Linked DNA regions of Cricetulus griseus. The protein of the gene in region 6 interacts with the protein of the main gene of each other region in a pairwise test. Links are inferred from orthologs where the notes say so. Each region holds a gene or a part of one and is shown on either strand. Other genes may lie near its edges.

The links.
Region 1: the proteins of Cep70 (region 6) and Trim29 interact in binary tests that used the Homo sapiens proteins (3 or more experiments, as listed by UniProt). The two-hybrid records come from large-scale screens. The link is inferred for Cricetulus griseus from reciprocal best matches to the Homo sapiens genes CEP70 and TRIM29.
Region 2: the proteins of Cep70 (region 6) and bystin interact in binary tests that used the Homo sapiens proteins (3 or more experiments, as listed by UniProt). The link is inferred for Cricetulus griseus from reciprocal best matches to the Homo sapiens genes CEP70 and BYSL.
Region 3: the proteins of Cep70 (region 6) and CUNH8orf33 interact in binary tests that used the Homo sapiens proteins (3 or more experiments, as listed by UniProt). The link is inferred for Cricetulus griseus from reciprocal best matches to the Homo sapiens genes CEP70 and C8orf33.
Region 4: the proteins of Cep70 (region 6) and Emd interact in binary tests that used the Homo sapiens proteins (3 or more experiments, as listed by UniProt). The two-hybrid records come from large-scale screens. The link is inferred for Cricetulus griseus from reciprocal best matches to the Homo sapiens genes CEP70 and EMD.
Region 5: the proteins of Cep70 (region 6) and leukocyte receptor cluster member 1 homolog interact in binary tests that used the Homo sapiens proteins (3 or more experiments, as listed by UniProt). The two-hybrid records come from large-scale screens. The link is inferred for Cricetulus griseus from reciprocal best matches to the Homo sapiens genes CEP70 and LENG1.
Region 7: the proteins of Cep70 (region 6) and Brms1 interact in binary tests that used the Homo sapiens proteins (3 or more experiments, as listed by UniProt). The two-hybrid records come from large-scale screens. The link is inferred for Cricetulus griseus from reciprocal best matches to the Homo sapiens genes CEP70 and BRMS1.

What each region holds. Positions count from the first base shown.
Region 1 is NC_048597.1:155,007,956-155,012,254, reverse strand, and holds the start of Trim29 (tripartite motif-containing protein 29), read right to left. Parts: upstream 2,801-4,299; coding exon 1,997-2,800; intron 1-1,996.
Region 2 is NW_023276806.1:255,579,836-255,583,964, reverse strand, and holds the start of bystin, read right to left. Parts: upstream 2,801-4,129; 5' UTR 2,705-2,800; coding exon 2,440-2,704; intron 1-2,439. Other genes in the region: mediator of RNA polymerase II transcription subunit 20, read left to right, coding at 3,210-3,223. UniProt on the Homo sapiens protein: Required for processing of 20S pre-rRNA precursor and biogenesis of 40S ribosomal subunits. May be required for trophinin-dependent regulation of cell adhesion during implantation of human embryos.
Region 3 is NC_048595.1:374,229,113-374,233,373, reverse strand, and holds CUNH8orf33 (UPF0488 protein C8orf33 homolog), read right to left. Parts: upstream 2,801-4,261; 5' UTR 2,526-2,800; coding exon 2,520-2,525; intron 2,437-2,519; coding exon 2,146-2,436; intron 1,990-2,145; coding exon 1,905-1,989; intron 1,769-1,904; coding exon 1,622-1,768; coding exon of another isoform or gene 1,599-1,621; exon of another isoform or gene 1,576-1,598; intron 1,194-1,575; coding exon 1,054-1,193; 3' UTR 439-1,053; downstream 1-438.
Region 4 is NC_048604.1:1,456,020-1,458,555, forward strand, and holds the end of Emd (emerin), read right to left. Parts: intron 2,373-2,536; coding exon 2,239-2,372; intron 1,368-2,238; coding exon 1,321-1,367; intron 1,239-1,320; coding exon 908-1,238; 3' UTR 501-907; downstream 1-500. UniProt on the Homo sapiens protein: Stabilizes and promotes the formation of a nuclear actin cortical network. Stimulates actin polymerization in vitro by binding and stabilizing the pointed end of growing filaments. Inhibits beta-catenin activity by preventing its accumulation in the nucleus.
Region 5 is NC_048602.1:21,581,544-21,585,626, forward strand, and holds the start of leukocyte receptor cluster member 1 homolog, read right to left. Parts: upstream 2,801-4,083; 5' UTR 2,732-2,800; coding exon 2,600-2,731; intron 757-2,599; coding exon 577-756; intron 96-576; coding exon 1-95. Other genes in the region: Tmc4 (transmembrane channel-like protein 4), read right to left, coding at 3,209-3,277, 3,393-3,471, 4,041-4,083.
Region 6 is NC_048597.1:207,716,505-207,720,004, forward strand, and holds part of Cep70 (centrosomal protein of 70 kDa), read left to right. Parts: intron 1-1,239; coding exon 1,240-1,345; intron 1,346-3,500.
Region 7 is NC_048596.1:54,243,822-54,247,910, reverse strand, and holds the start of Brms1 (breast cancer metastasis-suppressor 1), read left to right. Parts: upstream 1-1,289; 5' UTR 1,290-1,448; intron 1,449-1,455; exon of another isoform or gene 1,456-1,613; intron 1,614-4,089. Other genes in the region: B4gat1 (beta-1,4-glucuronyltransferase 1), read left to right, coding at 1-23, 241-432. UniProt on the Homo sapiens protein: Transcriptional repressor. Down-regulates transcription activation by NF-kappa-B by promoting the deacetylation of RELA at 'Lys-310'. Promotes HDAC1 binding to promoter regions.

The DNA.
Region 1 (4,299 bases), about 53 Mb from region 6:
ACCATAGCAGTCACTCCAGGATCCCATTCCCTTCCAAGGTGACTTCATATATTGCAAGACAACCTAGGCACATTTTTCTCCAGCCATAATATTAGCCAGGTTCCTTCCTTCCTTCCTTTCCTTGGGTGTGTGCCCCAGTCTGTGAAGTAAAGAGTAGACTGTGAGGCTGTGAATGCACCATTAGGCCTGCTATTCTCCCTCTGAAATTTATGTTTATGCTTCTGCATACCTGGGAGGGTGTTCTGTCTTGTTTGTCTGTCTAAGCCTCTACTTCCTTGCCTATGTCACAAGCCCTTGAGGGCAAGGACTCTCTGAGCCCTACAGCATCCACTGACTAAGAACAGCAACTTGGAGATCTCAGTGTCTCCAAGCCAAGCTGCCCACACCTTCCTGCCCCCCAGAGCCAATTCTTCTACAGGCACTCACAGTGGAGCCGAAGCTTGCATAGAAAAAGAGGTCTGTGTGTTTAACTGGCTCTCAGTGGAAGCAGAACCTGAAACGTTTGTTCCCTGTGCCCACTTTGTCTCCTTCTTACCCCAGAGTCCTCAGAGATGTTTCTAAGAATCCTGGGCCATCACAGAGAAATGTGAAAACAGTGTAGTCCATCCCTCAGTTTCACATGGAGGGAAATGAGCCACTCACTGGCTTGGAGCTAAAGACTGACAACCTCGTAACAGCCAGCCTGCCTCATTTCCCAGTGCCCTTAGAATTCTGCTTGGAATTCTAAGCACTGTCTCCACGAATGGGCTTCATGCTCCTGCCCTCTGTTGTCTATCATCGAGAAGCTAAGAGCCAGGCTGCAGCCAGGAGATGCTGGAGTCAGGGAACAAGCAAAACTGAAGACACCTTCGAGTACCAAATGATGTTTCTAAGAGAGGGTGTCTGATTCTGTCCCTACCTGTGACTCAGCACCTGCGGCCCCAAGGGTAGGGGCAAGAGACACAGAGTGAGAGTGACCAACAAGCACATAATCAAGGCTCTGGGCAAGGAGAGACCCTCTGCAATTTGAGGTACAAAAGCTAATGAGAAAGTAAAGCCCTTGCACTGGCTGCCAGGACGCTTTGTCCCCACATGCAGCTGAGTGAGCTCAGCAAGGGACAAAACCAGTGGCCCCAGCTGGGCCTTAACCCAGAATACCTTCCCCAGGTGCATCACATGCACAAGTCTCCACCTGCCCCTGCCTCTCCCCATGGAAGTACCGCCTCATCACACACGGGGAATTCACTCAAACACACTTACATAGCCCCCACACAAATATGGGCAGACACCCACATTCGCAGACATCCGCATGCGTATAAAATACACGCTTACATCCACCCGCCCACACATGCTCTCACTCCTGTGTTGTCCATCCACAAGCACAGACCTGTTGGCTGAAGCCACACAAACAAAGCACACAGGGCCCAACTGAGCAAGAGTAAGGGATGCCAAAGTGGGGGTGAAGGGCGTGGCTTCAGAACCAAGTACAACAAGCAGAGTAAGGGGTGTAAAAGCCTGGGGGGGGGGAGAAGGGGGGTTGAAGGAAATGGCTTCCAAGTTAGGGCAGATTCAAGTAGCTGCTGAACTGCAAAAGCAAACCTGGAGCCAGCAAAAAGGGTCTTTCAGGAGTCCTCAAATCCCCTTAATATGTCTCTCATTCTTGACCTACTCCCTAGGGTCCAATCCTGCTCAGTAGGGAAGAGTTTTCTATTCATAGAGGGGGCGGGGGGGGGGGGCAAGTGGAGCCCAGGAGAGAGTTTAATACAGTTTTACACTCTGGCCTGACTTAGATTTATCTCATGAACTTAGTCCAGCTTCTAACCTTTCTGGAGTTTCTATTCCCTCACTTAAGGATGCCCCTCTCCCAAGATCTTTGGCAGTTAGATCTCTGACCCCCAGGCTGGAGGTACAAAGGGGGAAAACTTGTTTTCTAAAAGAACGGAGCACAGTGGATTGAGGGTCAAGGTGGGAGGGGGGGAAGGGTAAGCGGGGAGCAGCCGGGGTCCTGATAAGTCACCTCCTTCTCAGCCTTGGCCTCCTCCACGGTCACAGTGCTGTGGTTCTTGTGCTCCTGGAACATGCAGAGGTAGCAGATGCAGGTCTGGTCAGTCTGACAGAAGAGCTCCATAGTCTTGCCATGCAAGGGGCACTTTCGGGCCTCGAAGTCCCGGATGGGCTCGAGCAGCTGGTGGTCACGGAAGGCAGCGCCCTCCAGGTGGGGTTTCAGATGAAGCTCACAGAAGGAAGCCTGGCACACCAGACAGGACTTGACCGCCTTCTGCTTGTTGCCAATGCAGGAGTCGCACAGCACCTCCTCAGAGCCAGACTTCGACCTCAGCAGGAGGCCAGAGTCAGCCCTGGGGTAGCTATTCCTGCGGATGTCCCCTGGCTCCACGATGGTCACCGTGGGTTTGCGGGGCTCAGAGAAGATGGACTTTCGCAGCTCCCCCTTCTCAGCAAAGGTCACAGGCGGCTTCTTGGAAGCCCCCAGCTGGAGCCCCGCATAAGGAGACCTCCTGCCTTCCGCAGAGTCCATGCTGAAGTAGTTGGAGCCTTTGTCATCCACAGACTCCACAAACTGGATGATGGGCCTGCGCCACTCATTGCTGGAAAACAGGGCACTCTTCCCCTCCCCTGACTTCAGGGCACTGCCCAGGGTCTTGCCCTCTGTCACTTCCCCACTGTGCCCGTTGGTTGTCTTGGTATCTTTGCTGTCTGCTTTAGTGCCATTCTCCAGGCTGCCATTGGGACCCGATGGGCTGCGAGTGTCCCTGGCTTCCGGGCTGGCCCCATTGCTCCTAGAGGCATCGGCACCTTCCATGGCAGGTCACTTGTTGGCCTGTTTCTGCTGGTTGGGGTCTCTTGGTAGGTGTCTCGGGCACGGAGTGGGACTAGCAAGCAGAGCCCAGGGACACACCTGTGGGGAGGAGAAGGTGGGGCAGGAGGAGGAGCCATAGGAGGAGCAACCTGACACAACGGGCCCAGGCGGGGCGGGGGGGGGGCGTGGGGGGGAGGCAAAGAGGCTAATTACCTGGGCCACGCCTGCACATTCACGCCCAGCCTGGGATTTTAAAGAAGTGTTTTTTCTCCCAGTTTTATTGCTTCCCACCATTGACAACCAGTTCGACTGCTTCTGTCTAAGCACTTCTAGCAGGATGGCAGAGCCTCTGTCCTCAACAGGTGGGCAGGCTTTGAGGAGGTCAGTGCCCCTGGGGGCAGAAGGTGAGGTGTCCAAGGAGGTCCATGGGACAGAAGGCTCTTAATTGGGTCACACAAGCCAAATCGCCTTGTAATTTGCGGGCTGGATATCAAAGGAAAGCCTCCACCCTGGGACAACACATCCTGCTGGAGCTAGCTGTGCATTGGGTCTGATTCGGAGGTTAGGACTACATGACTGATTCTTAGCAATTTGCAGCTGATGTCTTTAGGTGCTTTACATGTCTGAGTTTATTTAAGCCTCCCTACCGTCCACAATCATGTCGTGTGTGTGTGTGTGTGTGTGTGTGTGTGTGTGTTTCCAACATCTTTCTCAATTGCTCACACACAAACCTTTTTTTTTTTTTTTTTTTTTTTTTTTTTTTTTTTTTTTTTTTTTTTTTTTTTGAGACGAGCCTCTCAATAAACCCGGGAGCTGGCCACTGGATCTGCCTGCCTCCTTCCTGGAAATGGGACAACAGACAGACACCACATCTAGCTTTTGCGTGGTGTTAGTGCTTGAACCCAGGTCCTCCTACTTGTGGGCAAACACTTCACCCACTGAGCCACCTCACAGCCCCCAGCTGTGCCTTCTAACAGAGAAGAAGCACAGATGCTATGAGGACTCTGGCTTCAGCCCATCACAGGGCTGGGACTGGAGTCTGGGGCTTTGGAGATTGTCCAGTCTCTTCTACTCTTGCTTCTTGGAAACACCTAAATATCTCACTAGAGCATAGCCGCTGGAGGATTTCCTGTGCCCATGGCCCTGAGAGAGTACACACTCTGGCCTCAGAGGACAGAAGTTGCTCGGGGCCTCTGGGCCAGAGACTGGTAATAAAAGGAATCTGAGCAATGGCAACCAGGCAGAGGGTACTCAGAGCCAAAACCTCACTCTCGCCCACCCTTCTCTACAGTAGGTGTGCGGTGTGACTCAGAAAAACCTGCACACCTTCTCAGGGCTGGGCCCTATGTAATAACCTCTGAAATGAGGCAGTACAGTGTGGGACTTAGATAACTCTAGAGACATGAGAACTGCCAGCTCTCTTCCTCCACCAGCCCTTAGCCAAGCACCAGAACCTTCTGTTCTTACAGGACACCTGGAAACAGCTGCCTCACAGAGTACTG
Region 2 (4,129 bases), on a different chromosome or scaffold from region 6:
CATGACATAGTCTTACTACTAATTATGAATGTTTGGCCTTAGCTTTAGGCTTGTTTCTGCTTAGCTTTTTAATTGAAATTAACCCATTTCTATTAGTCTATGTGTTGCCCTGAGGCTGTTCTTCTGTCTCTACCTCCCAAGTGTTAGACAGTGTGGTCCATGTTTGTAATTCTAACACTGAACTCTTGGTTTGTTTGTTTTTGTTGTTGTTTTTGAGAGACAAGGGTCTGACCATGTAACCTTGGCTGGTATGGAACTTGCTCAAGCTCACAGAAATCTGTCTGCCTCTGCTTCCTTAGTGCTCAGATTTAAAGTCACGTGCCAATACACCTGGCTGACTTTTGAAACACCACACATAGCTGGCAAAGACCCTGGAAGAGTCTAACAAACCAAAGGAGTTGAAATATTATATAACAACAGGTCATTTGCAACAGAATTGGACTAAGGGTACACATAGCTCAGGAGAGTACGCAGAGCATGTCCAGCGAGACCCATGTTTTGTTGGTTTTTTTTTTTAATTTTGTTTTAGACTTATATACACTATTTTATGTGTATGCCTGTGAGTCATAAATGTCCCTGGTGCCCAAAGAGGTCAGAAGAGGGCATATGAGCCCTTGGAATTGGAGTTATAGATAGCAGTGGTCTGGCATGTGAATACTTGGAACCAAACTCTCGTCTTTCTGAAAAAATAAGTGCCTTTTTTTGGTTTGTTTTTCGAGACAGGGTTTCTCTGTGTAGCTCTGGCTGATTGGAGCTCACTATGTAGACCAGGAAATCTGTCTTCAACCCCCTAGTTCTGGGATTACGAGCTGCTGTGTATTGAGGTCAGGGGCTCTTGCTTCCAAAGCATGTATTTCACCAACTGAATTTTCTCATCACCTCCCTAGCATCTGGTCAGCAGAGGTGGACCCAACAGGTTGTCACTGATCACTAGCTGACGAATGGATTACAGACGTTAGAGAACAGTAAATGATGATGCTCCCACAGTGATTCAAGGGAACTCAAACAGGAGGATGTTCCAAGCTAAGGAAGTGGATATATCCTGAAGACACAAATCATCAGGGTTTACTGACAAACCTGATGTAGAATGAGAAAGAGGAGCCTTGAGCAAGGGGAGGCTAATGTGCTAAGAGACTCCATGGAGCAAGCAGTGAGATGTCAGGTAGACAGGTGGATATAGGGATGTTAGTTTACTGAAAGAACTATGTCTGAGAGAAAAAGCTGGGAGTAGTCATCAAATGCATGGTTTCAAACCGGAATCTGCAGACAGCAACACAGGAAAACCTAAAACTCAGGCCTGCTCTGGTCACAGAGCAAGTTCAAGTCCCGCATGAGTAACTTAAGGAGACACAGTATCGTAATTTAAAAACAAAAATTTAAGGGCAGGTGTGGTGTCAAATATCTATATTGCCATCAGTTGGAAAAACAGAGGCAAAAATCAGTAGTTCAAGGTCATCCTCACCTACATACAGAGTTTGAGGCCATCCTGGGAATGAGACCCTACCTCAAAACAAGGAAGTAAAGCTACTATGGCCCTAAAGCCATATTCAATCATCTCAATACTGCTTTTAGAATAAGAAGGCAAGACTAAGAAACTGGAGGTCAACCTTCCCAATGAGACAAGTATCAGGTACTTTCCCACTCATCTCTGCCGCCCACCCCCACTCGATTCTAAACTGTTTTCCTGCCTCGGTTAATGGAACATTTCCCATGTTTTTTATATCTTAGTCGGCAGGGCACAAAACTGGGGTGCCTGGCCTGTTGAATTAATGGCGGGTTTGTTGTTGTTGTTTTGAATAGGAATATATTCATTTTCTTTTACTGTCTCGATCGATAGAGGTATACCATGTATATCAGGCTGATCTGGACCTTACTATGTAGTCCACGAGGGCCTTCTTCTGCCTCAGCTTCTCACCTGCTGGGATTACAGGCGAGCACCGCTGCTCATTGCTGGAATATGTTACTCTATTTAATATTCTCTGCCTTGGGGTAGACTTCCGGTGCTAAAAGCAAGGACGAGTACATTGTTTATTTCGGTATCAGAACTGCCTAAACTCTTTTTTATTGGGGGGGGGGGTTTCAAGACAGTGTTTCTCTGTGGATCGAACTCACAGAGATCAGCCTGCCTCTGCCTCCCGAGTGCTGGGACTAAATGTGTGTGCCACCACCGCCCGGCTTAGAACTGCCTGAACTCTTAACACAGTTCAAAGCATTGCACAGGAAACACAGTCATACTTCACAAGCCCAGAGAATAAATACTGGAACTTGGTGTGAGTGATTACTTCCTGTTGGAACTCTGAGGTAGGTTCCAGAAGGTACGCGTTGAAGTGAAGGACCACGCGGGAAGGAAAAACTGCCTCCTCTTTGTAATTCCAAACCCGTATCCGGATGGACTGAGCTAGTCCGGCCCATGCCACCACTCCAGCCCGTGTCACTCACCCAGCCGCGTGGCGCGTTCCCGTGGCTTTGCAGGCTGGTCTGCAGTCCCGTGTTCAGTCTCGAGCTCCTCCTGCTGTTGCCTGGCTTGCTGCAAAATGCGTCTGCTCAGCCGGGGTCCAACATACTCTTCCTCCTCTTCAACCCCGCGTCCCCGCCGCTTGTCTCGGGTCCCCGCGCGCACTGCATTCCCAGCCAGAATCTGCTCGGCCAGAGGTGCATGCTTCTCCTGATTCCGGGCCCCGCGGGCCACCTTCAATTTGGGCATTTTTCTCGAAAAACTTGCCGATGCTACTCACACGTGGGAAGCCGGTTTAAAACTAGGACTGTGTCTGCGCCCTGTGTTCCGGTGCTCGGGAGGTCACCGAGAGTTCACAGCGCCCCCCAGCGTTCGGAGGCCGGAAGTGCCTCATATACCGCCATCTCTCCAGGAGCTCCGGGGCGGGAGCTGGACTCCCCAGATTCTCAGGTAATCTCATTGTACGGAAGTGGGTGGATGTCCCAAGTCACCTTTTCCAGACAGAATTCATGAATGTAGCCTGAGAGGTCCTGTCAAAGCAAAGCGCGCCCTGGGGGCGGAGCCGGGCTGATGACGGAATTCGTTCATCGCTGGAGCGCCCGGGCACGCCTCCCTTCTGTGGGTGTACCGCTCTGGCGCTCAGATTTTGCGTATTTCCGGAGCCTGCATCCTGCTTTAGGCGGCTCTACCTCCAGGGGCCTCTGGATCCCTTGACTTCGAGTGTTTGGCAGTGCCACCCCTTTGACCCTGCGCCATGGGAGTGACTTGGTAGGACTGCAGGGGCTCTTGTGGGACGGAGCTTGGGGTCGTGAAGGCCCCAGGAGGGGGATCGGGACGGAAGCTCTCGGTTCCTCGCGGGCTGACAAAGATGTCCTCGGGTCGTGTTGCAGCAAGGGACGCCGTGTGGTGCTTCTTCCTTCCCAGGCGCATCCTTTTGGCAAAGCCAACTCTTCATTCCAGGAACCTGTCAGGAGTCGTACCTTCTTTTTCTTGGTACTTCTTCATGTCCGTCAGGCCATAGTATTGTCGCCAATAGGACCTAAAAGTTGGGAATAGGCTTTCGCACTAAGAATTATTTGCAGGCAGCGATAAAAAAGAGGGGGGCGCTCTAGGAGAAAGTGACTTTTACATTTTGCTTGCAGTAATAATAGCCTGGCTTTAATTTGGTCTAATGTCAGAGGGAGAGGAAAAGGAGCTGTTGGAGGTTTGGAGGTCGGGGTTCCAGGCACATTAACTATCCAAGAATCACTTCCTACATGTTTGAGTCAGGTTTGGGTTTTTTTTTGTTTTTTATCTGAAACGTGTTTTAAATCTCACTTGGAAAAAGAGAGGTGATTGGTAATGTCTGGACACCGTGCTTTTCTTCAGGGCATTAATTCCAAAGTACTAGGCTTCAGCACGTTAAAAAAAATCTTGGTAGTGGTGTGTGTCTTCCCAGCTGTTCTGTATAATGTGTGTGTGGGATGTTCTTCAGGAAACCCAGGCTCTTGCAGGGTTTTTAGTGACTACTATACGTGCAAATTAGTTGACACCAGGAGCCTTATCTCAACCTCATCACACCGTAAAAAGTACCTGTCAGCAGTGAAAATAGAAATCACAGCAGAGTCACTGGGCCCTATAAAACATTTCTGTATATGTTTTTATGGGCTGTCGATCACCTGCCTCTGACTCCTG
Region 3 (4,261 bases), on a different chromosome or scaffold from region 6:
TGTTGGAAAAAGAGAGAAATCAAGAATGACATAGGTTTCTGGCCTAATAACCAACTAGACAAGGCAGTGAATATCACTGACTAAAAAGGAAAGGGAGACCCAGGGCCTAATTAGGTATTCTGCAACATTCTGAGTTTGAACTGCTCACAGAATATTCATACAGAAAATGTTGAATACAGCTGGACTCCAGATTATATCTAGTCTGGGATTTGACTTTGGGCAACACCAGATTACATTGGTGTGAACACCTGAAAATCTCAACTCAGTATAGCAGAGGGTTCAGTACCCATAAAGAGGCAGTGTGTGGGCTGGCAAAATGGCTTAGTGAGTAAAGGCAACTGCCACCAAATCTAGAGGCTGAGATTAATCCTTGAGAGGTTAAACCTCTGACCTACACACATGTGCCTAGCATGCTCATACACACACATACACACTCACACAAATAAATAAAGGTTTTTTTTTAAAAAAAGACACAAGTCTGCTAAAACACAGTTCAAGTTAAAGCATGCAGCTCAAGAACAAATGATGGCCTGATGGAGGCCACACTGGCTCTCTGAAGATGACAACCTCCTCAGAAAAAGAGACAACATGGACAAAGACCTAAACCCTGACATCAGAGCTGTACCAAGTAAAGGCAGTCCCTGCCCCACCTAACTCCATCCACCATAGACATCACAAGCTTCCATTCATCACCTATTTTTTTAAAAAAATAAAAACATATTTATTAGGTTGATCCTTTCAAAAGTACACAGATTCTTCAGTTCCTTACCACCAACAGTTATTCCCAGAGACTGGAGCACAATTCCTGCAATCCACTCAACACTCAGGCTTAGCACAGAGGAGTTCCCAAAGCACCTCTCTTCTGACAGGAGGAACATTTCCTTGAGAAGTTCAAGGACAGTCTCACCCGGGGCAGCAGTTTCATGTCCACAAACCAATTAGAGACAAAGCAATCCTACTTCTGCCAAAAGAGTTCATAGAAAGACCCCTATATTCAAGACAAATGGTCACACCACCCTGGAGGAGGATGACTAGTCCAGAATGTAGGAGAATCTAAAAGAAATTGAACCGAAATTCTTCATCAGGAAAGTCCACAGTGGCCTTGGTTCTTCCTGTTGGACGAGGCCTACAGACCCTTCCACTCTTCTTTCTGGCAGTCTCTCCTACAAGCTGTACTCGGGCTGAATGGGTAGCTGTAGGAAGGTGGAGCGAAGAGTCAGAACTGAGTAACAGTTAACAATATCCATGCAGTTATGATTGCCCCCACAATGTTCCTATAATGATGATATTGTCATTCCCTGATGAGATTCAGAGACCCAGTAACTAGCTAAACTGTTAAGATCTAAATAACAGATCCAGGATTTGAACCCATGGTACCTGGCTTTGTGGTCAGTGGAGTGAACCAAGGCCTAGACAGGTGAGCTGGGTTTTCCCACCCCAAAAACAGAACAAGGTGAGGACCAGGGTTCTCCTGATTCCAGGAGCCCAGAAAGGTATATACATTCTTCCTGCTTAGGGTTTTCCCTGTGCCCATTTCCTCCAGCACCAACCTTGCTGAGCTGAGCTTCTCCCTACCTCTTTGAAGTACATAAACTGAATCAATCACTTCCCGGTTCCTCACCAGTCCTTAGAGCCCTCAGGGCTTCCTGCCATTCGGCATCCATTTGAGCCCTGTAGTCCCCAAACAAGGATCGCATCAGCTGTCTCTTCCGGGGCAGGGGGGTTTTTTCACTGCGCAAGGTTCGGATTGCCCCAACAGCCTGCTCTTCTGCAGATAAAAATAAGGAGCTGGTAACTTCATACATACTCCCTACAAAAGCAACAATTCCATCCCCTGGCAATACCATCAGGCTACAGCACTATCACCATTTACATTTCCCTAACTATAAAGAAGGGGCTCTCACTCTGCTTCGGGGTGGGTTTCTGCGTCTTGAGTCCCAGCTCTAGCTGTTCCACACACCAGGCCAGCTCCCTCGCCAGTTGCTCCGCCTGGGGTGGAAAGAAGGTCATGGCTGTCATAGGCATCAGGACTCGGCAGACCCCAGCCAGTCCCATCCCTTCAGTGCCTTAATTCCGCACAACTAGACCACACTCTCAGGAGGACTAGCTAGCACCCAGAAAGCTCACAGGGAATCCCACCCTTACCTGGGCTTCAGCACTGGGGGGAGCTTCGTCTAGGACAGGTTTCTCGGAGATCTTTCCGTCTCCATTTGTCCCAGAGACCCTGTTCGGGATTTTCTTCTTCTTTTGCTTCATCGACACAGTGTTGCCTGTGGGATGTGCTCTGGTGGCAGAGTCACAAGCAGGTTGCACTAAACTGACAAGGGGCGGATCTGCGGCACCGCAAGCAGGACGGGGGAGCCGAGGTCTGCGCGCAGCGCGTTGAGTTCTCCGGCTTGAGGCTGCTGGTGCCTCCCGAGCAGGACGCCCTAACGCCTGAAAAACGTGGAACAGGAGGAAATTCACAGGGGCCCCACACCCAGGGCCTCGCCACGCAAACGCCTTCTTCCAAAGCTCACCGCCATGCGCCGTAGCGGTGACCGGAAGTCCTGACTAAAACAGTGAACTCAGTCCTCCGGAAATGCGTCTATGGCCCGGAGTTCCGCAGAAGGCGCCGCGGACCCTGCAGGCGGAGTAGCAGGGGCAAGCGCTCCGGGAGGGGCGGGGAGCACTCCGTGGATCTGGGCCTGCAACTCTGAGAGGATCCGGACAGAAAGAGCGCAGGAACAAACGTGGAGGCTTCGGAGAACCCAGCAGAGTGCATCGCTGAGAAACCAGACGAATGCGCGGCGAGATAGGGATGGAACAACCCTCCCTCCCCGCGGGGCGGGGCAGAAAGCCCAGAGGTGGGGCGGGGCGCACGCGCGCGTGGGTGTACACACATACACACAAAACATAAGTACTAAAAAATAGACATTAAAGGGGGAGGGGCTGGAGTGTTGGCTCAGTGGTTAAAAGCACTTCTTGTTACATAGGACCTGGGTTCCATTCCCAGCACCCACATGGAGGCTTACTACCTCCAAGGGCACCAGGCCCGAATGTGATGCGCTGACGTACATGCACGCAAAACAGTCATATACATAAAATAATAAAAATAAATCCAATAAAACAAAGAAGCTTTGTGTGCAGACTGATTTACAGTACTACAGTAATATGGAGATACTGGAATGCTGAAGGTCTAGTGGCTAATCACCTTATCTTGGACTACTTCTAGAACAGCTACTCCTTGCCCATCTCTGTCAGAACTAACATCTTGCTGTGAATAATAGATAAAAGACCTTTTAGAATCTGTTTACTTAGCAGACCACTAACTTCCACTAACCCCAAAGCTTCAGTAACATCTTGGGCCTATAGAAATGTTTCCCCATCTCATTGTAACTTTCTGGTGTATCCACCAGTGTAAATTTGCCTTGATTTATGACTTTCATTGTTCTGTAAAACTAAAGCCTTGTGAAACCTGTTTCCACCTTAGAACATGGATTTTAGGACAACCTAAACCTGTGTTCCTGGGCCATGGTCACTCAAAATGGCTCCAGAACAAACCTTGTCTTAGTCCCTTTTAGCACTGTGAGCTTATCTTCTACAAGTACCAAATTATTGGTACATTTCTTTTCAAATCTTGAGGAACACCCCATAATTACTGTTGTATGGTATTTTCCTCAGAATCCCTGACGGGATGGAATGAGGAAGTTTGTGAGGTTCTGGAGGAAAACAAAAGGTCTGTGAAAACAGAAAGGTCCTTGCCAGCTGTATAAAAAGGAGTGACAACCCCATGTGAAGAGGGTTCTCAGTCTTTGAAACTGCCTACAGGCTATCCAGAGAGCTCCAGGGCTTCACTTCCCCCAGTAGGATTTTCCAATGGCGCAGTAGTTTTTGAGTCATCCCTGCTCCTTGTAAGTAACCCTTCACTCATACTCCTGTTAGTAACCCCAACAAAAACTCATTAGTTCACCAAGTTGGTGCAGTCGTAACTTCGGTCTGTCATGGATTCCCTTTCTGGGGTGAGTAGCTCTTTGTGTGTGTGTAGAACTGAGGTCATTCTCAGGTATCATTCCTCAGAAGGGATCCACTTCGTTTATGTTTTAATATATAACTATGTCTTAGTTAGGGTTTTTTATTGCTGTGAAGAGACACCATGACCATGGCAACTCTTATAAAGAAAACATTTAATTGAGGTAGCTCGCTTACAGTTCCAGAGGTTCAGTCCATTATCATCATGACAGGGAGCATGGCAGCGTGCAGACAGCTGTGATACTGGAAC
Region 4 (2,536 bases), on a different chromosome or scaffold from region 6:
ATGTAATATGTATCCAGGACAGAAGACCTGGAAACTGAGCAACAATAAACAGGCAAAGAATTAGGATGAGTATCCTGCAGTTTTTCTATCTACCCCCATGCTATCAAATAACTATCAATCCCAGGAGCTGAGCAAAAAATCCACTGGCAAGATGCCTCATTTCTTTTCTAACCTTGTAACTTCACATATTGGCATGAGCCTCTCCTGGCTAAAGTGCCTGCATGTATCATCATAATGCAGTTTTGCCTGAATTTCCCATGGGCACATTTGGTTACATGGTAGTTATTTTGTAAGTAGTTGTTAAGTGCTTCAGGGAGTGAGCCCAGAAATAAAACCCACAACGAAAACATAGACTTATCTTTGGGTAACACTGGATCCCTTCCCCAAGAACAAACTAAAATGTAGAACCAAAGGTTAAAGTCAGTGATTTTTGAGACCCAAGACTAAGCACTTGTGCCACAGTAGCCCAACTCCCACCCCAGTAGGAAGAGCCAACAAAGTAAAAATAAATGTGTTTTTTATTGTGTCCACAAAAACAAAGCCAGGGTGGCCTTTGGTTAATACACCCTAAAAAGGGGTGACAACAAACAGGCATGCATGACAACTACCATCACCTCCACCAAGTTTTCCTCTAAAGAAGTGGGGTCTTATCTCCTGGAGCCCTAAGGGTCAGAAGCAATAGGACTAGGAGGCTCCAGAGGAAGGTACATATGGGCCCAATGGGTTGTGGAAGGCCAGCATTTGCTGCCTTCTTGGCAGGAGGAGGTGGGAGATAAGCACTGCCCTAGGCTAGGCCCTGAACCCCTTAAAGAACACATAAAAAGCCCTCACCCACCCTACCCCCAGCAAACACTGATAAGGCAATCAGCCAAAACTCTTGTTAAGAGCTGCTCAGAAACCAATACTCTCAGGGATCCATCCAGAAAGGGTTGCCTTCTTCAGCTTGTATGGAGTAGTAAACAAAGAGCAGAAAGGCAGCAAAGACCAGGAAGAGCAATAGCTGGCCCCAGAGTGGGACCTGACGATCCTGGCCCAGAGCAGCAATAGGAGCCTGCTTTTCTGGCCTGATGGCACGTCGGGTAAGCCATGAAGAGGGAGAAGATGAAGAAGAGGACACAGAAGAGGTGGAGGATGTAGGATAATAGGACAAGCCCAGGGAGCTCCTGGAGACGTTGGAAATGGGACGGTAGTGTGCAATGCTCTGGTAGACACTGTCTCGGCCATAGATGGGGCGTTCCCTGTGGCAAAAGAAGGAAACAAGTGGGCAGGAGAGCCTGAGGCCCAAACCTGTCCCTGTCCTTATGTGTGTTCACTACTCACCTATCCTTGCCCTCCTCTTCTGAAGAAGAGAAAATATCATCACGAACCTGCAAGACAACAGGGGTTAGGAATTGGGGGAAGGGTGGTTTCCCAAAAATGTCTCTGACCAGCCTACTCTAATCATACCCTAGAAGCCAGACCATTGCCCCCTCCCTCCAGAACGATTCTGATCTGTGGCCTTTTTACCTGTGGAGCCTTGCTACTCAGTGACTATACCTGTCAACTCTGTCTCAGCATCCTTTTATTCCCCCTTATTCTCAGAAGGCTTAAAACTAGATCCCAGACTAGAGTGCAAAGAATGCTACATGTGCTCTGATCAAAACAGTTTGTAGACTGGATACTTGATCGGCTGGATACTTGAGTTCAGTGTCCAGCACTCACCACCAGGGAGTTTACAACCACCTGTAGCTCCAGCTACAGAATAAAATTTGTATTAAGAAAAGAGAGATGATGGGACAAATGAACTTTTAAAAATGTCATGCAACTTTATCTTGGGTTTCTGGTTTTTATTTTTTTTTAAGACTTTTTAAAAATGCACCAACACTCATGCATACTATCCCAGACACATAAACATAATTAATGTTTTGTTTCTTTTTGAGATAGGGTTTGTCTTTGTAGCTCTGGGTGTCCTAGAACTCACTCTGTAGACCAGGCTGGCGTCAAGTTAATAGAAATCTGACTACATCTGACTCTCCAGTGATAGGATTAAAGGTATGTGCCATCACTGCCTGGCAAAGTAATTAAATCTTCAGTTTTGGAGGCCCCAAAGTAGAACTCTGACCCAAACAGCTGTATGCCGACCCTAACCCTATTTGACCGCCTAAGGACTACTCTCTGTACCTAATATCTCCTTGGACTTATCCAGACCCAGTTAGGATCCTCTCAGACTACATCCAGATATGCTGCCAGTCAACTCACCTGGTGATGGAAGGTGTGGGTATCTGCAAGTGAGGTCCCTGGCTGGCGAAAGCTCTTGGACATACCCACAGACTCGGGCTCCCCATATGTCCTGGTGGTCAAATAACTCTCCTCATAGTAGTCGTCATTATATTCTTGGGAAGGAAAAACAGTGGTAAAGGAGAAAGTGACCTCATGGCCCCAAATTCTGTGTGTGTGCTGTGACAGTTTCTCCACTCTAGAGCCATTGAGAACTGGGGTGAAGTCTTAGGTTTCCCTGTGCCCAAATTCCCTGATAAAGGACCCACCCCACACCTGT
Region 5 (4,083 bases), on a different chromosome or scaffold from region 6:
CTTGGGGGGAGCTGGTACCAAGGAGGTTGCGTTTGAGCCTCTGCTGCGCTCTGGCCCAAATACGTCAGGATGCCTAGTGCTTTCTCTTGCCTCTCCTGTGGGGGCAAGAAAACAAAATAGTCTTCCCAAGTCCCTCTGGGAGCCCTAGATATGGCATGTGGCAGTAGGGAAACCCAGGGCCTGAGTTCCCAGTGAGGCAGGGGCTGGTGGGTATTCAACAAGGGAAATCACAGACCAGGGGCCAGCTACGCAAAAGTGCTGATGGCTAATCTGCAGGGGGCGTCTAAGGAAAAACTGCAGCAAAGCAGAGGAGTGGTTTCAGTGGGATGCAGGAGAGCCACAGTACAGTTCACAATGTGAGAAGCACAAGCGCCATCTGGCGACAGATGCTGACGACTAGCATTCAGGAGGCCAGCGCCGGAGGGGGTTGTGAGCTGGAGGACAGCCTGTCTGTGTAGTTGAGGTGTCATCTCAAAATAAACTAGCTAAGGTTAACATAAGAAACAGCTGTTAGTCACAGCTGGTAGCGCCCCACCCCACCCCACCGAAATCAGCCAACAGAGGCCAGCAGCTTACCTTCTCCTGTCGCTTCTCTTCTTCATGCTCTTTATTGCCTCTGGGCACTCCTTTCCCTTCTTCCAGCAGCTCCCTAAACAGGTCCACAGGGCCAGAACTTGGAGCGCCTGCCTCTGCTGCTTCCAGCTCAGGGCGTGAGTTCTGGTGCCTGGCTTTCTTCCGTAGGAATTCTGTTCGGGCCTGTGAAGAAAGTTATAGGCAGGACATTCAGAACGTAGAAGTGCTGGGGGCTCCAAGGAAGGGCCATGAGCCGGCTGGTGGTGACACACGCCTCTAATCCCAGCACTCAGGAGGAAGAAAGAGGCAGGTGGATTTCTGTGGGTTCGAGGCCAGCCTGTCTACAGAGTCCAGGGCAGGCAAGGCTACATAGAGAGAAGCTATCTGGAAAAAGGTTTAAAAAAAAAAAAAAATTGTGTGGGGGGGGCGGGGGTAGAGGTACTGGGAGCCAGAAAAGACACCATTTCTAATTTGAAGTGGAGAATGGGGTTTTTGTTTGGTTTGGCTTTTGAGATAAGGTTTCTCTGTAAAACAGTCCTGGCTGTCCTGGAACTCAGTCTGTAGACCAGGCTGGCCTCCAACTCACAGAGAATCTGCCTGCCTCTACCTCCCAAGTGCTGGGATTCAAGGCATGCGACACCACCACCCGACGAGAATGGTTGTTTTTAAACAGTTAACTGGATTACCAGGGATATTTGGGGAGATCCCAGCCTAAAACAGAAGGGTTTCCACAGCCTGGAGTCATGCAAGAAAAACAGCTATCAAAAACCACTCAGCTAGGGGCTGGAGAGATGGCTCAGCGGTGAAGAGCACTGACTGTTCTTCCAGAGGACCTGAGTTCAATTCCTGACAACCACCTTGAATGAGATCTGGTGCCCTCTGCTGGCATGTGGGCAGAAGACTGTATACATAATAAATAAAATCTAAAAAAACAAAAACTACTCAGCTATAAGGTATAGAGGTGGCTTGTTCACCCATAGAGCCCCTGCTTAGTGTATGCCCAGCACACACATGTACAAACTCCCAAATACAGCTTATTAGGAAGCCAAACACAGTTTCTGGACAAAAGATCTGAACCCCAGGTGTGGCTCCAGGTCAGCATCCCAAACACATTAGTGATGGCCCGTGTCACTCCCATCCCAGGTAGGTTCTGCATTGCCACCAACGCCCGGCTACTTCCGAAATTTTAAATACCCACACTACTTCATGATCAGATTGGCCAAGGGACTTAATTGTAAACTAACATGATTGAGTAATTACTAACGCCTGTGCATGCATGCGTGGTCTTCAATCCCACATTCAGGAGGCAGAGGCAAGAGATCTCAGAGCTCGAGACCAACCTGGTCTACATAGCCAGTTCCAGGGCAGCCCGGGCTACATAGACCCTGTTTCAAAGAAAGCCTCTTTGGTGGCGCACGCCTTTAATCCCAGCACTCGGGAGGCAGAGGCAGGGGCAGGGGGATCTCTGTGAGTTCGAGCCCTGTCTCCAGAGTGAGTGCCAGGACAGCCTCCAAAGCAATACAGAGAAACCCCTGTGTCGAAAAATAAAAACAAACAAACAAAAAACCGAAAGAAAGAAGAAAAAAAAGAGAGAGAGAGAGCAAGCCAGCCTCTGGGTGTGTTTGGGGGAGCAATGGTGGAGAAAGAAGAGGTCTAACGGAGTGCACTCCGGCTTGCCCGCCCTTTGCCCTCCTCGTTGAAGCCTTTGCAACTCCAAGTCGCTCTAAGAGGGTCGTGTCAAGTCTAGCGCTCTGCAGGAGGGGGGGCACGCATACAGTGGGTGCTCAGTAATTAACTTGTGCGGACGATCTCCAAAGTGATCGGGGCAGCCGTCCCACTCCGACGTGCTAGCCTGCGGTCACTTCAGCCACACCAGGGGGGGGGGGGGAAGGGGATCCAGGACGGTTTCGCGCAAGTCAGCAAAGGATTTGCGGAGAAGCGTCAGCAAGCACAGACCCGCGGCTGCCACCGAGTCACCCACCGACCCAGCGAGGCCCGCCTCGCTTCCGGGCCAGCCCAGGCTCACCTCCTGCTGGGCGAGCAGCACCCTCCGCTCACGCTCCTTCTCCTCCTCCCGCGCCCGGGCCTCATCGCGCCGCACGCGGGCGACGTTGTCCTTGTTTCGGACGTGCCAGCTCTTCTTGGGCAAGATATTCATGGTCCCCCCGCCGACCTCCGAGCCAGCGGGCCCCCGACTCCCACACTTCCGATTGGCGCGAGGGTGCCCCCGCCCCGTGGCCCCACCCTCGCCTGTGCATTGGTTCCCGGCCAGACGCCACGCCCACTTATGACCCTATCCAGGGGTGATTGGCTAAGAGGCCCTCCATCACAGCCAATCCCAAACGTTTGCCACCCCCGGGTCGCTCCACCCCGGACGCCGCCGTGTAGGGCTGATGCTGCCCCGCCTTGTCTAGCCCTCTGCTCGCAGACACAACCCGGGACCCGGATCAGGCCCCTCCCTAAACCCTGTCCCCAGCTTCAGGACCCGGCTTCAAAATGCAAAGCTGTTGTTTATTAATAACGGTGCAACTGAGAGTGTGGCACTGGGGTGGGTGGGGTGGGGTGGGGTGCGGAGGACTCGATCCAGAGACCACAGGGTACCAGATAGGGAGGTGTAACCACGGGTCTCGGGTGGTCAGATGGCTCCGTTCGCTGAGCTCAGAGCCACAGCTCGCTGGGCTAGGAAGACTTTATTCTTCGCTTCCTGAGGGCAAGAAAAAAGAAAGGGGGTGGAAGTGAGGCAGGCCTACTCTACACCCTACACCCGAGTCCTTCCCAGGTTCCCAGGGGGCCCTGGCCGGGGAAGCACCATGGCTCACCGTCTCTATCTGGCGTTTGAGCTCGGAAATGAGGCGTCCGTAAGAGTTAGCCAGGGCTATTGTAAACACCATCAGGATGCTAAGGAAGACAGGGATGAAAGTTACTTCAGAAAAATAAAATAAATACACACACACACACACACACACACCCCTTCATCATATGGCTCCTTAGAAACCAGGATCACGCCCGGTGCTGGTGGCACACACCTTTAATCCCAGCCCTAAGGGAGGCAGAGGCAGGCGGATCTCTGTGAGTTCGAGACCACCCTGGTCTACAAGAGGGAGTGCCAGGACAATCTCCAAAGCCACAGAGAAACCCTGTCTCGAACCCCCCCCCAAAAAAGAAACCAGGATCAGGACCCCCAAGGGCCACTGGCTTCTGCTTCAGACCAGGAGGAGTCCATACCTCTGCCCTCCTCCCTCTGACCAGGGGTCTAGACTGCAGACCTCCTTTAGACCCAGTGTTCAAACCCAGACTTCTTTTCCTTAGACCCGGGAATCCAGACCCCAAACCAGATCTAGGGAGACCCCAGTTGTCTTCCATGCCATAGGTACCCAGGCAGCAGCCCTCCTCTCTAGCAGCCCCCAACCCCCCAACACTAAACCACACATATCCAAACTCCGACCATAAAGTCTGGAACCACTTACCAAGAGAGGATCAGAAGGGGTACAGCAAAAGCCTGCGTCCCCA
Region 6 (3,500 bases):
TGACTTTCTGAGACCTTCTAGGTTGCAGTAAAGGAGTACCCCAAATCCATCCTTTCCCTTGATCTTCTGGATTGAATTTGGGATTGGATTAGAACTGCCTCTTTACCAGTGGGAAGTTGGGGGATACCTTTATTTCCCTGGAAGTGTAAAAGTCATTTCCATCATGGATGTCCTAACGTATCACTTACCTTTCTAGAAGTGTTAGAGTTTATTCTAACAACAGCATGTGAAATCACAAAGTTGGCTTGCTCTCCAAAGGTTTGGACATACCCAACTGGGCTGCCAATAAAGCTCCCCAGGTCTCTTTTTTAGTATAGACAGAGAAAGGAGCCATGCACATAGGTTGTCCCAGACTCCATTCTGGAGATCTGCCTAATTGAAAACATGTCTTGTGGAAGAAAAGGGGGCACATCTGGGGACAGCGTTTCCACACTGGGAAGAGGTCTGCTCTGTCTAAAGGGCTGCAGATTGGGATGGATAGCCAGAAGACTTACAGGGGTGGAAACAGTCATGTTGGGCAGTTCATGAATTTGGGGATTTGGATACTTTGTAGGATTTGAAGACTTGTTCTTGCCTGCTGACTCGTTTTTTTAGATGAGATCATATCACAGCCAAAGTATAGGGGTACATTTTACATACTTGGGCCAATTAAGGGTGATCCTTCAAGTAAAAGGACAAATTGAATATATGGGATAGCAGTCCATTTTCCCTCTTGCTTGCAAAGCAGATTGAGCGGAATGATGGTATTGTAGTTTAAATTGCTCCTAGAGGCCAAGATTTCCAATCACTTAGTGGGCGTTCTGGCCAGCCCTGGATAGGGAGAAAAGAACCTTTTCCTTATGACTCTGAGGGTCCGTCTTACTTAGTTTTCTAAGAAGTAGAGCAGAGGATTTGATGTGATCTTGGTTAGGGTCAAATCCATCTGACCCTGTCTAGTAAATGGAAGCATTCCTTGGAGAGACACCTCTCTCCTTACTCTTCCCTGGGCCCAAAGGGATGCCTCTGATCTGGGAGAGCCCTCGTGTTTAGAGATTACTTCTTACTTGTGATGTATTGGAACTTTTCCAGGGGCCGTATGGTTTACACTTTACATACATACATACATAAAGTTTGCACATGGGTGCACACACACATATAAATAAAAAAAAACAAGGTTTTGGGGGAGGCCAGCTCTGTCATTGACTTAGTTATTTTAATCTTCTAAGAAAACATTTTTATTGACTTTTCCTCCTCCTTTAGATTACAAGCGCTTACTGGTCAAAAAAAGACTGATTACACGGAGAAAAAAGATGAGCCCAGCAAAGACAGCCATCAACAGGTTCTAGTTGACCAGAGATACTTTCAGGTATTGAATAGCTGATGAAAAGACTGGTGTTTGTGAAGATCCTTGGTTTTATGCAGTATAATTTGTTGCCACTTGGTAAGGAATGTTTGTATACAGACAGCTCTAGGTATCTGTGGGGGCTTGGTTCTGGGATACTTGTGGATGCCTAAATCTGCAAAATCCCATATATAATGGCATTGTGTTGTGACTTGAATGGGAAATGCCCCCTATAGGTTCATGTGTTTGAACATGTGATCTCCAGCCATTTAGAAATGTTTGGTGTTTGTTTGTTTAAGACAGGTCTCTCTCTGAAGTTCTGGGCTGTCCTGAAACTTGCTATGTAGACCAGGCTAGCCTCAAATTTATAGAGATCCATCTTCCTCTGCCTCCCAAATGCTGAGATTAAAGTTTTATATATTTTAAATTTAGTTTAGGTGTATTTCTTGTCAGGTTTATTTTCTAGGTATTTAATGACTCTCATTGCTGTTGTGAATAAGATCTAGGCAACTTTATGAGAATTTTATTTTAGCTGTTTCTCTGTGAGTATGTAACTGGGACTCTTTCATTTGCTTGCATGGGCTTAGTATGAGAGCCTGTGTGTGTGGAGACCAGCTCTTATTTCACTCTTACTGTTGGCATCTTACTGCTTTTCATATACTTGGTTTCCTGCTCTACTCTTTGGTTTTCTTTTCTTTTTCTGGCATTTGCTAGATTGACAGATGTTTCTTTGTCCTTTTTAATTTTGTTTTGTTTCTGCCTTAAAAGAAAAGCAGTAATTCATGTCATTCAGAGAGCTCACTGACACTGATAAACTCCCTGTGTTGTTGTTGTTTAAAGCAATCTAAAGGTGATCAGAGAACAGGAAAAGCTAAGATGAATTTAATTAATTAATTAAGCAATGGAATTTTCTTAAAGGCTTTTCCTGTTCTTTTAAAAATTCTTATCTCTGCGGGAATTGCTTTAAGTTACTTTATGGTTTCTACATTGTTACTATATCTTTTACTGCTAATTATCAAAAAGGTAGTTAATTCATACAGGACAATGTAAATTGTCACCTGTAAAAATTCTGATGGAATTAATTCTTCCATTAAAATCATGAGTTTATATATAATTGAAATTAAATATTGAAATATATATTTTTAAATAATTTATTTAACTTTATTTTATGTGCATTGGTATGATGGTGTCAGATCCCCTGGAACAATAGTTAGAGTTACAACTGAAAATTGCTGAAAATTGAACCCAGGTCCTCTGGAAGAGCAACTAGTGTTCTTAACTGCTGAGCCATCTTTCCAGCCCCCTGAAATATATTTTCATGAAAACTAAAAGCCTTCTAAATAACCTCTGAAGTCATATTACCAGGAGACCCATTAGTTGCAGCTTGAAGTATGCACAGGACAGAAATTCAAGATAAAATGCTGATCTCATCGTCACGATTCGTGTGTGTGTGTGTGTGTGTGTGTGTGTGTGTGTGTGTGTGTGTGTACGCTTGTGTGTGTTTGTGCATGCATGGGTTCCTGGTGTACATGTGGAGGTTAGAGAACAACTTGTGGGTGGACCATGTGGGTTCTGGGGACGGAACTCAGCTTGGTGGTAAGCAAGCCATGTCACTGGCCCTCATCTTCATACTTGATGATGATTTCTTAAATAGGATAGACTTCATGTTGATAAATGGGGAATTACTTTTATTATGTGTGTTTTGTTTTTTAAATACCACGCAAGGTGTTAAGAAAGGGCAGAGACAGGGGGCAGGTAATACCTAAACTCAGGCCATCTGACAGACCTGGGACCTCATTAAAACACTTTCTAAAAGGCTCTGAAGTTAATTAAAGAGGTAAAATAAGAGAGAAAACAAACAAGGTTGAAAGAATGATCTATTTTACCTGTCTTTGGGTGGTCCCTATTGTAGTGCTCATCATCACATCTAGAGAGTCAAATAGTATACATAATAAGATATTAAAACTTCAGCTCAGATATCAGTGATATTAAGGAGTTGTCAGTTTTCTTCAGTGTGACAGTGGCACTATATTGTATAGACTATACCAGCTTTTAAGAGATGCATGCTTTACTATTTGAGGGTAAAGAATGATGATAGCTTGATTTAGCTGACCCTGCAGACAGAGTGAGCCAAGCTAGGAAAATGTTAACAGTTACTGGATTTAGGTAGTGATTATGT
Region 7 (4,089 bases), on a different chromosome or scaffold from region 6:
ATGGCTTCAATCGAATCAGCCAGGTGCCTAAAAGGGACGGGGCAGGTGGGACTGGGACTCAGGTGTTTCCGGGATGGAGTGGACATTGACAGAAAGGAGGCCATGAAGCAAGAGGAGAGTGGTTGGACGGATGGTATAGAATTCCCAAGAGGGGGGTGGAGTGAAGCTTTAGGGGTGACTATTTGGGTCCTGGGGATGTCATTAAAGTATTGTTCTCTCTGCCCCCCCTTCTCTCTCCAGGCCTGTGAGCTGCACGTAGCAGGATTTAATTTTGAGGTGCTGAACGAAGGTTTTCTGGTTCATAAGGGCTTCAAAGAAGCATTGAAGTTCCATCCCCAAAAGGAGGCAGAAAACCAACGCAATAAGATCCTTTACCGCCAGTTCAAACAGGAGTTGAAGGCTAAGTACCCCAACTCTCCCCATCGATGCTGAATCCTTTCTTCCCCTGGTCTGAGAATTTCCAGCATCTGGCTCCTCAGGCCTGACTGGGGTAAGACACATCCCTCCACTCTACAGAGGTAGCTGTGGTTTTGGAACACTGGACTTGACTATGGGGTGCTGGGATCAAGTCCTAGCTTTACCACTAACTAGCTGTGTGGCCTTGAACAAATCCTTTTACCTCTCTGAGCCTCCAATACCCCGTCTGTAAAAAGGGAGGTGAAAATACCTACCTCACAGAACTGTTGGCTCAGATGAGGTGCTGTATGTGAAAACATCCTGTAAACTTCGTACAAATGTTAAGTATTATTAATATTATTACAGTGCTATTATTGTTAGTATTATATTGTTATTATTAACAATGTTGGGTGGATAACCGCAGAGCAAGAAGTATGAATGGAATAAATCTGAGAATCCTGAGTACTTAATAAAATGAGCCTTTTGGAAAGAAAGATGAAAACATAGAATGTAGTGCTCAATCTGGGGTAAAACTTAAGCTTCCTGGTTCTCTCACACCTTGGCCCTCCAAGCTCCCTGAAGGAGCGAGGGTCTGTAGGCCCTGGGGGTTAAACTCCCAGCTCTGTGCCCTTCACTAGGTTGGGCTGCGCGTTTGCCTTCAGATGAGTGTGTAAATAAACGAGTGTTCAGACCCTCAGCTGGCTCTGTGACTCTCCTGAGCTCTGAGGGGTTGTGGTGGGAGCATCGTGTTATCTGGTGGACTCAAGGGCACAGACCACAATGCTGGGGCAGGCTGGGAGGCCGGGGAGACGGTGGGCCGGTTGCTATGGGGACCCGCCCGCGGTATCCCGGCATGCCTGAGCACCGGTGGGTCGATTGTAAACTTCGCGGCGGGCGCCCTTTGATGACGCACACGGAAGCGTCGGCCCCTCCTGGAGAAAGAGGGACCTTCGCAGCTCATTCCCAGAGGCCAACGGCGGTGGCGTTTACAGCCTGGGTCCGACAGCTCTCGTAGAGTCTCGGGCGTGAGGCCGGAGGCCCCAGTCCCTACGGTGCGTATGGTCACGCCTGGCGCTGGATTGGGCTTCCCGGGTCGGAGCCAAAGCAGAGACTTAACCGGTTCGGCTCTAGTGCTGGCCTTAGACGAGCCCGCGGTTCCCTGGCCAGCTCGGTGAATCGGAGGGTGGATCGCGGCTGGATGCTCCCGGAGCGCCGCAGTGAGTTTGTTCTCCGCGTCTGTAGGGAGGGGTATCCCTTCCCTGGAGGCTTGCTCCGGAGGTGCTCAGACCTCTGCAAAGAGAAACTGCACGTACACTGCGCCTTACAGCGCGCCTCTTCCACTTCTTACAGCCGTCAGCAGTGGCATATCCCCTGTTTGTTGTACCTGGGTGAAAAAGAGACGGTTGTGACTTCATTTAACGAAGTCAGGATCGGAGTCAGCTGGAGGAAGGAGGTCTTTAAGACTTCGTGCTGCGTCTTAGAAAGTACATATACATAACGGTGAAAAGGAATTGCCCGCGCGGGCACCTGAGCCCTGAGAAGGGGAACAGTCATGCAGTTTTGGGTACCTAGGTTTTCAGAGCAGGAGGAAATGCTACTAAACTTTCCTGCAGGTCCATCACTATAATTAGTTGAATGGGTGGCCACCAATGTAAGTAGTGTTACTGAGAAGAGAAGCAAAAGCCAATTCCTGCACTGCAAAGGTTTTTTTTTTTTGTTGTTGTTGTTGTTTACTTTGTGTTTAGACATCTCCAGTCATACAGTGAGCGGGTGTTGTGCTGGGTGAATAAGACAGTTGTGCAGCCCCTGTCCTGGTGAGACTCCCACATTCACTGGGTGGATGGACATGAAAATGAGAGAATAGGAGATGGAAATTATGAAAGCTTGGGGGGTGTCTACCCCACTATAGCTGGAGATGTAGGAGTAACAGCAGCGTGAAATAGAAGCCCCCACTGGCAGAGAGAGTATTTGCATCCGGAATGGCTTATTTTCTCAGATGATCAATCTATTTCTGCAGAGGTTCTCCCCTACCTCTTTGGTTGACCTTGGGAGTTCCATCACAAACCCCTTCTCACATTTTCTGCCTGACCAGTCACTACATGAATCCTCAACAACCTGCCATATGTAGATAACCGAGTTCCTGAAACCTGGGTCTAGTGGGAGCTTACATGCCCACGTCATTGGTCCCTTTTCCCATTTCTAGATCTTTGCACTTGCCAGAAATGATCCCTCTTTTGTCTGCCAAGTTCTCACCTAGTCTATCTTCCTCTGGAAGCTGTTAGTTCTGCAGCAAGATCTTGTCTAGACACCTTTCCCATAACACCCTAGTTTTGACTCTCTTCACACTTTATAAAGGTCTGTTTCTTTGCCTTCTCTCCCAGGAACTTGTCATTTCCTTGAGGCCAAAGACTGTCTGTCACAACTATACTCTAGCTTCTACCACAGTGACTGTTGGTACCTGGCGTATATTAGGTGCTTAGTAAATATTAGATAAGTAGGGGGTGTGTGAAGGGAAGGCTTAGCAGTGTTTAATGTTTTTGAAAGGCCATCTAAGGTAAGCACTGAAAAATGCTGGTGGCATTTGCTACAAGGAAGTTGCTGTGTAATTCTGCTAGAGTGGCTTCAGTGTGAGTACTGGGTACCCAGTGAAAGAGTAGGAGATAAAAGTCACAACAGCAAGTATAAACAAGGCCTGGAGAACTATAGAAGTTAAGTAAACTGGGCCAGGTTTTGTATGCATTCATTCATTTACCGACTTACTTATTTGGGGTTTTTGACATAGCCTCACCAACTATTGCCAGCCTGAAACTCACTGTATACCAGGCTGGGCATGAATTTTTAGTAATCCTCCTGCCTCTGCCTCCTGAGTGCTACGGTAACAGACCTGTACCACCACACCTGGCTTTATTTTTTTAATTGTATTTGTTTTCCACAGGGCAGAGGATCTAGTCCAGCTGTTTCTGCAAGCAGCAACTCTATCACTGAACATTTGTTTTTGTTTTAAGACAGAGTGTCACTATCTATCCCAGGATGGCCTGGAACTTGCAGACCTCCTGCATCAGCCTGTATCATATCAGGCTCTCTCTTTTTTATTTTTCCCTTTCTAGTACTGGGAATTGAGCCCAAAACCTCGTACATGCTAGCAACCTGCTCATACTTCTCTCCTTTTTTCTGGGTTTTTGTTTTGTTTTGTGGTTTTTGTTTTGTTTTGTTTTGTTTTGTTTTGTTTTTCTCCCAAGACAGGGTTTCTCTGGGTAGTCTTGGCTGTCCTGGAACTCATCTGTAGACCAGGCTGGCCTTGAACTCACAGAGATCTATCTGCCTCTGCCTCCTGAGTACCGGGATTAAAGGTGTGTGGACCACCACCCAGCTCTGTTTTTTCTTAATGGTAGGAAAAACCTGAGCACATCTGAACTTCCACATAGGAAGGTGCTTTCTGTCTAAGTCCTTAAGGAATCCTGGGGGTTTGGGGTAGAGTTAGGGCTCCACATTTACGAGAACCCAAGTTCAATCCCCTGTCTTTTACCAAAACAAAATCCTGAGACTGGGTCATTTATACAGAACAAGCTGAGTTGTGGTGAGGGCCTGTAACCCTGTGATATCAGCAGTTTGGGAAGGTGAGGTGTGAGGGGTTACTAGTGGTTTGAGGCCAGCTTAGGCAACTTAGGGGGACTGATTCTCAAGAAAGGCTGG